2 linked regions of the Notamacropus eugenii genome follow. The protein of the gene in region 2 binds, or shares a complex with, the protein of the main gene of each other region. Links are inferred from orthologs where the notes say so. Each region holds a gene or a part of one and is shown on either strand. Other genes may lie near its edges.

What was found. The genes of interacting proteins can lie anywhere in the genome.
Region 1: METTL3 (region 2) and WTAP share a complex: the UniProt entries of both Homo sapiens proteins name them as parts of the WMM complex. The link is inferred for Notamacropus eugenii from reciprocal best matches to the Homo sapiens genes METTL3 and WTAP.

The regions. Positions count from the first base shown.
Region 1 is NC_092873.1:253,466,399-253,470,148, reverse strand, and holds the start of WTAP (pre-mRNA-splicing regulator WTAP), read right to left. Parts: upstream 2,792-3,750; 5' UTR 2,662-2,791; intron 2,490-2,661; exon of another isoform or gene 2,257-2,489; intron 1,866-2,256; exon of another isoform or gene 1,647-1,865; intron 1-1,646. UniProt on the Homo sapiens protein: Associated component of the WMM complex, a complex that mediates N6-methyladenosine (m6A) methylation of RNAs, a modification that plays a role in the efficiency of mRNA splicing and RNA processing.
Region 2 is NC_092878.1:12,408,785-12,412,534, reverse strand, and holds the start of METTL3 (N(6)-adenosine-methyltransferase catalytic subunit METTL3), read right to left. Parts: upstream 2,149-3,750; 5' UTR 1,995-2,148; coding exon 1,895-1,994; intron 1-1,894. UniProt on the Homo sapiens protein: The METTL3-METTL14 heterodimer forms a N6-methyltransferase complex that methylates adenosine residues at the N(6) position of some RNAs and regulates various processes such as the circadian clock, differentiation of embryonic and hematopoietic stem cells, cortical neurogenesis, response to DNA damage, differentiation of T-cells and primary miRNA processing.

The DNA.
Region 1 (3,750 bases), on a different chromosome or scaffold from region 2:
CAAATGGTTGCATTTAAAGATGCTGTGAGCAGGCATGGCTCAAATATTAGAGACTGAAGTGACAATCCTAAGAATTTCAATCCAAGAGCTACAGCTCACCTATACCACTGTGAATCTATGATAACTAGCTGAGACTAGGCGGCACAGTGGCCACAGCACTGGAGTTGAGCAGACCTGAATTCAAAGCTCAGACACCAGATGTGACCTGTCTATCTCAGTTTTTTCAACTTTAAAATCGGGATAATAATAGCATCTGCTTCACAAGGTTGTTGTGAAAATTAGATAATATTTGCGAAGTGCAAAGTGCTCAAGCGTAGGTGCTTTAAAAAAATTTGTCCTGACTTCCCCAGTTTCCCTATCAGTAAATTGAGGGAACAATGCTCATTCAGTTACCTCCTTCATACCAATAAAACATGGAAATATGAAAGTATTCCATAAATGTACACTTACTCTAAAATAAGTAATATGCTCTCACAAATTTTTAAATTTTAACCTTGATGTTACAGCAACATCCGAAGGCCTGGGTTCTGAATTGAAGTTACTAATTCACTTTTTTAATATGGGCCTCAGTTTTCCAAATAAAGTTTGATTAACCTTTCCCATCTCTTCCAATTATAAAAAAAACTTAGCAACTTCAACTGTGAACTAGACTCTACATTGAAGGTATTCTGGAATAGTGGCAAAAATACTTAACTTGGGAGTCAGAAAACACAGATTATAGTTCTGGTTCCACTATTATCACAGTTATGTAACCCTCAGTAAAAATCAGTAAGTAGCCAAAACATCTTATAAGCTTCAGTTTCTTCATCTGGAGAAAATGGGGATAGTTATCTGCTCTGCATAGGGATCAATGGGTTGAATGTAAAACTAAACTGACGAAAATACTCTGCAAAAAGTACATGACACTAGTTTCATCACCCTCTCCTCAAAGTATTACATATAACATTCAATAAATATGTTGAAAAAAATGAAAGAACAGATCTCTCTCACTACTTGAAATGGGACCAGAGTAAACCATTCTCTCAAGAGCTAAAAGAAAAATTAGAGAACTAGCTTGATATTCTTTCAAGAAACTAAAGCCCCAGAGAAATTAAGTGGCTTGCTCAATGACAAGTAGCCAAGCCCAGGCTAAAACTGAAGTCTTTTAAAACCAAATTCAAACACTGTTTCCTAGAGCAGTCACTTAAAGGCATAGTAACAGAAAACACAATCAAAAGAACATTTTTTTCTAAAAACTTCATATGTTGCCAATAAAAACTTCAGGACTCAGAAAATGCTTAATTTGTCACTAAGAAAAAAAACTGAGTGGCTGGAAGTTTATGACAGGAGGAAAAGAGATTAAAGGGGGTGGGGTTCATATGATTTTCATTTATCCCCTATAGTAGCTAGATAATTTAAACACTTCTTTTATTCAGTTTAAGAGCAAGATGTAATACCCAGGACTCCCAACAACTCCGAACTACAATGCATTATTTAAAATATTTGCTATTCGGGGAGAAAACCCATATTAACCCCTTGCAACTAATACTACCCCAAAGTTTAACAGATTTTTATAAGACCAAGTACTAAAGAGTGTCAAAAAATTCAAGACCCTGTTACACCCACTTTTTTCTCCCCCCAAACTATTTATACCAAACGGGCCTCACCTAAAAAACGAGCGGGCAGAGGAGGAGGCGTGGGATTCCGAACAAGTTTCTGGATGTAAACACGCCAACACTTCTTTAAAGCTACTTTGTTTCCTGTTCCCGCGGATTAAAGCTCATTCTAGCTCTAGGTTTGCGAAAACTGGGGCGGGCGGGGGAGGAGTCCATTATCGCTCCCCAAAAACTCATTTTTTTGTTAGGATAAATTTAAATTTAGGATTCCTAAGGAAATAAACAAACCCAAACCTTTGCTTTTTTTGGCGTAGTTCCTTTTTAAGCCCAGTCGACCCAGAATTCGGCCGAACGTGGCGGGAGCTCCGGGCCCCGCGCCCGCACCCCGGCTCGCTGTCCCTTCTCCCGCTTCCCACCGCAGACACCGAGCAGGGTAAAATGGCCTAGGGCGGGAGCATCCGCGTCCCCGCATCAAAGGAGGCGAAGCAGTTAACGGAGTCGGCGGCCCCGCAGGCCCCGGCTCCTCCACCGCCGCGGGGAGCGGCCTGCGGACCGGGCGAGGCCGGGGTAGGGCGAGGGGGGCGTCGGGAGGGACGGGGTCACTTCGGGGCCCGAGGCGGGCGAGGTCTGTTCCGGCGGCGGCCCCGCGTCCCGCACTTACCTCTTCACGCCGAGGCAGCCCCTGCCGCCGCCGGCTTGTCACATAGACCGGCCCGGGCGCCGACCCCCTCACGTACAGACAGACGGTCGGAGCGGCGGGCGGCCGGGCTCGGGCGACCCCACCACCCCAAGCCGCCTGGGTGCCCTCGGCCCCAGCGACGGCTCCTCCTCCTCCTCCCGCCGCAGAGAATGACTCTCCCCTTTATTTGCGGGTCTCGCTGCTACAAAATGGCGCTGGAAGAGGAAATGAGGCTCCGTCACCCCCCCCACCCCCTTCCCTTCCCCGTCTTCCCGCTCCTCCCGTCGGACGGCTCCGCCCCCAGCCCACGCAGCCCCGCCCCAGCTCCGAGCCGAGCCCGCCCCTTCCCTCCTCCCGTCTCGTCTGGTCGGGGCCTGGCTCACTCACCTGGAGGACGAGGCTTCCGATAGGTCGCCTTTGCGTCCAGCCGGAGTCCGCGGCGGGTACCCGCGGGTGGGCCCCCCGCCCCCGCCACGCCGCTCCCGGCCTGGGGGCAGGGGAAGGAGACGGCGAGCGGCAGCAGCAGCCTCAGCAGGGGCTAGCTCGGGCGGCGGCGGTGGAGGCGGCTTTGCTCCCGCCCCCCCCCGCCCCGCAGAGCCCAAGCTGAGGCGCCTGGAGAGGCCGGCCAGCCGACCTAGTGACGGGTGGGGAGGGGGGGTGGCAGACGTGTGGGGATGGGGTCACGGAGGGAGGCGGGCGGAGTGGGAGGGAGGGGAGAAGGTTGGAGTTCAGCCGCGGAGCATCCTGGGAAAGGCGATGGGGGGCGGGGTGGGTTTCGCCTACTCCCGCGGGCGGAAGGAACGTTCCCGGGGTCCCCTGCTGCTGCTGGTGCTGGAGGGCGCCCGCCGGCGGAGGGATCCTCGGGGGTTGGCTGCCTTCTCGGAAGCCGGCGGGGTTTGCTCGCGCGCCGGCGTTCTGCTGGCTGGTCCTTGGTGTGGCCGGTGTCGTGGCCCGTGACGTTGTGAGGAGCTGCTCCTCGGGCTGCCCGGCAGCCTGAAGACCGCGCCTCCCGGGGGAAGGCGGACCGGCCTTTGTTCTTGTGCGGGCTTGGCTGCAGCTCCTACCGCCGGGAAAGAAACGCCAACGAGGGGCTGCGCTTGACGGCTGGTGCGGAGCCCCGGGCTTTGGGGCGTGATTGTATTCTCATTCCACATTCACTGGAATAAAGTTCATTACGAAGGAGCCAACCAAGTTGGACTCAGCGAAATCGCAATTGTTTTTTGTTGTTGTGCCTTTTTCTTTCCACGATAGAACCGTAAAAGAGCTTTAAATAAGACTGCACGTTAGAGTTTTCTGTACTATGGGCTGGTCAAATCATTGCCGTAGTAGGTGTCCGCCCGAAAACTCAGCTGACCTTAAAGAAGCTAGTCTTTAAGTATTCATTAGGATACAATTAAAGGTAAGACGTGCTTTGTCGAAGGAGACGGACGAAGTTCCTCTTGATAGCACAAAGGAATGATAAGATGAGTTAGACGT
Region 2 (3,750 bases):
TATGAAAAGATGCAGAATGAAGACAGCCAAAGCAAAAGAAGAACTTAAACAACGACTGCAACAACGTTATGGGAATGGGAACAAATAGGAAACAAAACTCAAGACAAGACACAGTGGATAATGTTGTAACTCTCTTATTAAATTTAAATCTATTCAATAAACTCCAGTGACTCCTTATTACCTTCAGGATCAAATATAAAATCCTCTGTTTGGCTTTTAAAACCCTCCATAACCTAACCCCTCCCTACCTTTTCAGTCTTACATTTTACTCCCCTCCACAGACCATGCAATTCAGTGACACTGCCCTCCTTGGCATTCCTCAACAAGACACTCCATCTCCGACTCTATATTTTCTTTTTCCTTCAAATTTAAAGTTGCATTGATGTGTTCTGTCTTCAAATTACCTACATTTACAGATTATTCCCACTATGTGAGAAATCTCTTGGAAAAAGTGGAATAAAACTAAAAATGTGTTAAGTGGCCTTATTTGAAAGTTCAGGCACTATTTCACATCTGTAGCATTCTGCTGACTTTCTATTTAAAAAAAAAAATCCATTTGTTCTCCCTCTCCCATATCCATCCCATGGACAGAGAGCATATGCATAGCTATTTTTACATCATGCCTGGAATTCTCTCCATTTACATCTCTGGCTTCCGGCTTCCTTCAAGTCCCAGCTAAAGTCCCATCTTCTATGAGAAACGTTTCCAATCCCCTTTAATGCCAGTGCTTTCCTCTGATCTCCAGTTTATCCAGTACACAGCTTGTTCATACAATCATTTACATGTTATCTCCCTCAAGAGAACCTGAGCTTGGGGGCAGAGGACTTTTCCTCTTCTTTGTATCCCCAGCCCTTAGCAAGGTGCCTGGCACGTAATAAGTTCTTCAAAAATACTTGCTAACTGACAAAAACATTGATTCTTCCTTTCTTTTAATAAACAGCAAACTATTAGTGTGAAGTTTTATGGACGATTACAGTAAAATGATTGAGAGGATTGCATTTGGAGCCAGGGGACCTCAGTTTGGATACTAGGTCTGCTCCCTACTAGCTGTACGTGATCTTGGGCGAGGCAGTTCCCATCTCTTGTCCTCAGTCTCTGTGCCTCTGAGTTCTTTCCAACTCTAAATCTATGAGTCCACAGTCAAACGTCACATTTTATACTGTTTTCAGTATACAAAGGATCAAACGTTACAAAGGAATAAACTGTGAGTGTGGATTTGTATGATATAATGAAACAAAATTTATCAACAAAAAAATTAAAAATGTTAAAAAAATGGACAAACAGATAGCTTTGGTGCTACATTAGTATCCAGGCTGCACTAAAAGCCTTAGAGGAAGGCCTTCTGCAGGGGACTTACGGGAGGGCAAGGGCAAAAATATCACCAGAGAATAATAGCTAGCATTTGTACAGCACTTTAAGGATTGCAGAATCCTCTCCGTTTACATACCCCCAGGTATACGGGGACTCCGGCTACGTCACGCTGCCTTTCCTGGGGGTGTTCTCTACATTTTTAAGATGAAGAAACTGAGGCAATGGGGAAGTCAAATGACTTGCCTGGGGCCCCCAGGTAGCAAGCGTCTGGCAGGATGTTAGCACCTGAGCTCGTGTGGCCCTGGTTCTGTTCTGGTGCTCCAGCGCTTCGCCAGGCGGGTCTATATATGTAGATATATGTATGTGTGCGTGTGTATATGTATGTGTGTATACGTATATGTATACATATATACACACACATACACATACACACATATGTACATATACATATATGCACACACACACACAGCGGGCCGTTCCGGGTCCCCCGCCCCCGCCCCCGCGGGCCACCTGCTCACGTGACGCGCCCGGCCCGGCCCCGAGGCTGCCCCCCGGCTCGGGCCCTCCCGCGCCCGCTCCTCACCGAGGTGGCCTGAGTCCTGCTTCCGCCGCCGCTGCAGCCGCTCCCGCAGCGAGTCCAGCTGCTTCTTGTGGGCCTGGATGGAGCTCCACGTGTCGGACATCTTCGGGACCGGGGCGGCGAAGCTGCGGCCGCCCCTGCGCCTCCTCCCCGGCCAGGGCCGCCCGCAGCGGGAGGGCGGCGGGGAAACTTCACATGGACACCGGGGCCAAACAGGAAGAGCCCGGAGGCCGCGGGCGGCGCCATTTCCGCTTCCGCCCTCACTCGAAGCCCGAGCGGGAACGCTAGGAATCATGGGTCTAAGGCTCCATTTTCCTTTTTGGCGGCGTAAAATGCCGCGGCACCGGCGGGTACTGGCAACGTGAAGCCGAAGCGACCATGCTGGGAGTTGGCAGGAGGGCGGCCATGTTGATACAGCCGCATGGGCGGCCATGTTGGACGTTAGCGGAAGAGGGGCCATGTTAGTCACCTCGTTAGGAAGGCGGTCCGGAGGGTGAAAGGGTCCGAGGCCGGAGCGGGGACCCTGAGTTAGCACTAACGTCACCATAGCCTGGGAGGTGCGCACAGCACCGTCCGTTTGGGAGCTCTGATCCTCCCCGTGAATCCGTGCCATGTTTAAGTGGGTCAGCGGGTCAGCGGGTCAGCAGGTCAGGGGGCATGTGCCAGGGACTGCAGACAAAGCCCGAAGCAGCCCCCGCCCCCTGGGGAGACAGTGCGCGTGTATATTCTGTGTAGTGTGTGTCTTATTTGTGTGTTTATCCGCACGTTTATACACGTGTGTTTTATTTATGTGTGTTTATCCGCACGTTTATACACGTGTGTTTTATTTACATGTGTTTATCTGCACGTTTATACACGTGTGTTTTATTTACGTGTGTTTATCTGCACGTTTATACACGTGTGTTTTATTTACATGTGTTTATCTGCACGTTTATACACGTGTGTTTTATTTGTGTGTTTATCCGCACGTTTATACACGTGTGTTTTATTTACATGTGTTTATCTGCACGTTTATACACGTGTGTTTTATTTGTGTGTTTATCTGCACGTTTATACACGTGTGTTTTATTTACGTGTGTTTATCCGCACATTTATACACGTGTGTTTTATTTACGTGTGTTTATCCGCACGTTTATACATGTGTGTTTTATTTACATGTGTTTATCCGCACGTTTATACACGTGTGTTTTATTTACGTGTGTTTATCCGCACGTTTATACACGCGTGTTTTATTTGTGTGTTTATCTGCACGTTTATACACGTGTGTTTTATTTACGTGTGTTTATCCGCACATTTATACACGTGTGTTTTATTTACGTGTGTTTATCTGCACGTTTATACACGTGTGTTTTATTTACATGTGTTTATCCGCACGTTTATACACGTGTGTTTTATTTACATGTGTTTATCCGCACGTTTATACACGTGTGTTTTATTTACATGTGTTTATCCGCACGTTTATACACGTGTGTTTTATTTACGTGTGTTTATCCGCACGTTTATACACGTGTGTTTTATTTGTGTGTTTATCTGCACGTTTATACACGTGTGTTTTATTTACGTGTGTTTATCCGCACATTTATACACGTGTGTTTTATTTACGTGTGTTTATCTGCACGTTTATACACGTGTGTTTTATTTACATGTGTTTATCCGCACGTTTATACACGTGTGTTTTATTTACATGTGTTTATCCGCACGTTTATACACGTGTGTTTTATTTACATGTGTTTATCCGCACGTTTATACACGTGTGTTTTATTTACATGTGTTTATCCGCACGTTTATACACGTGTGTTTTATTTACATGTGTTTATCTGCACGTTTATACACGTGTGTTTTATTTACGTGTGTTTATC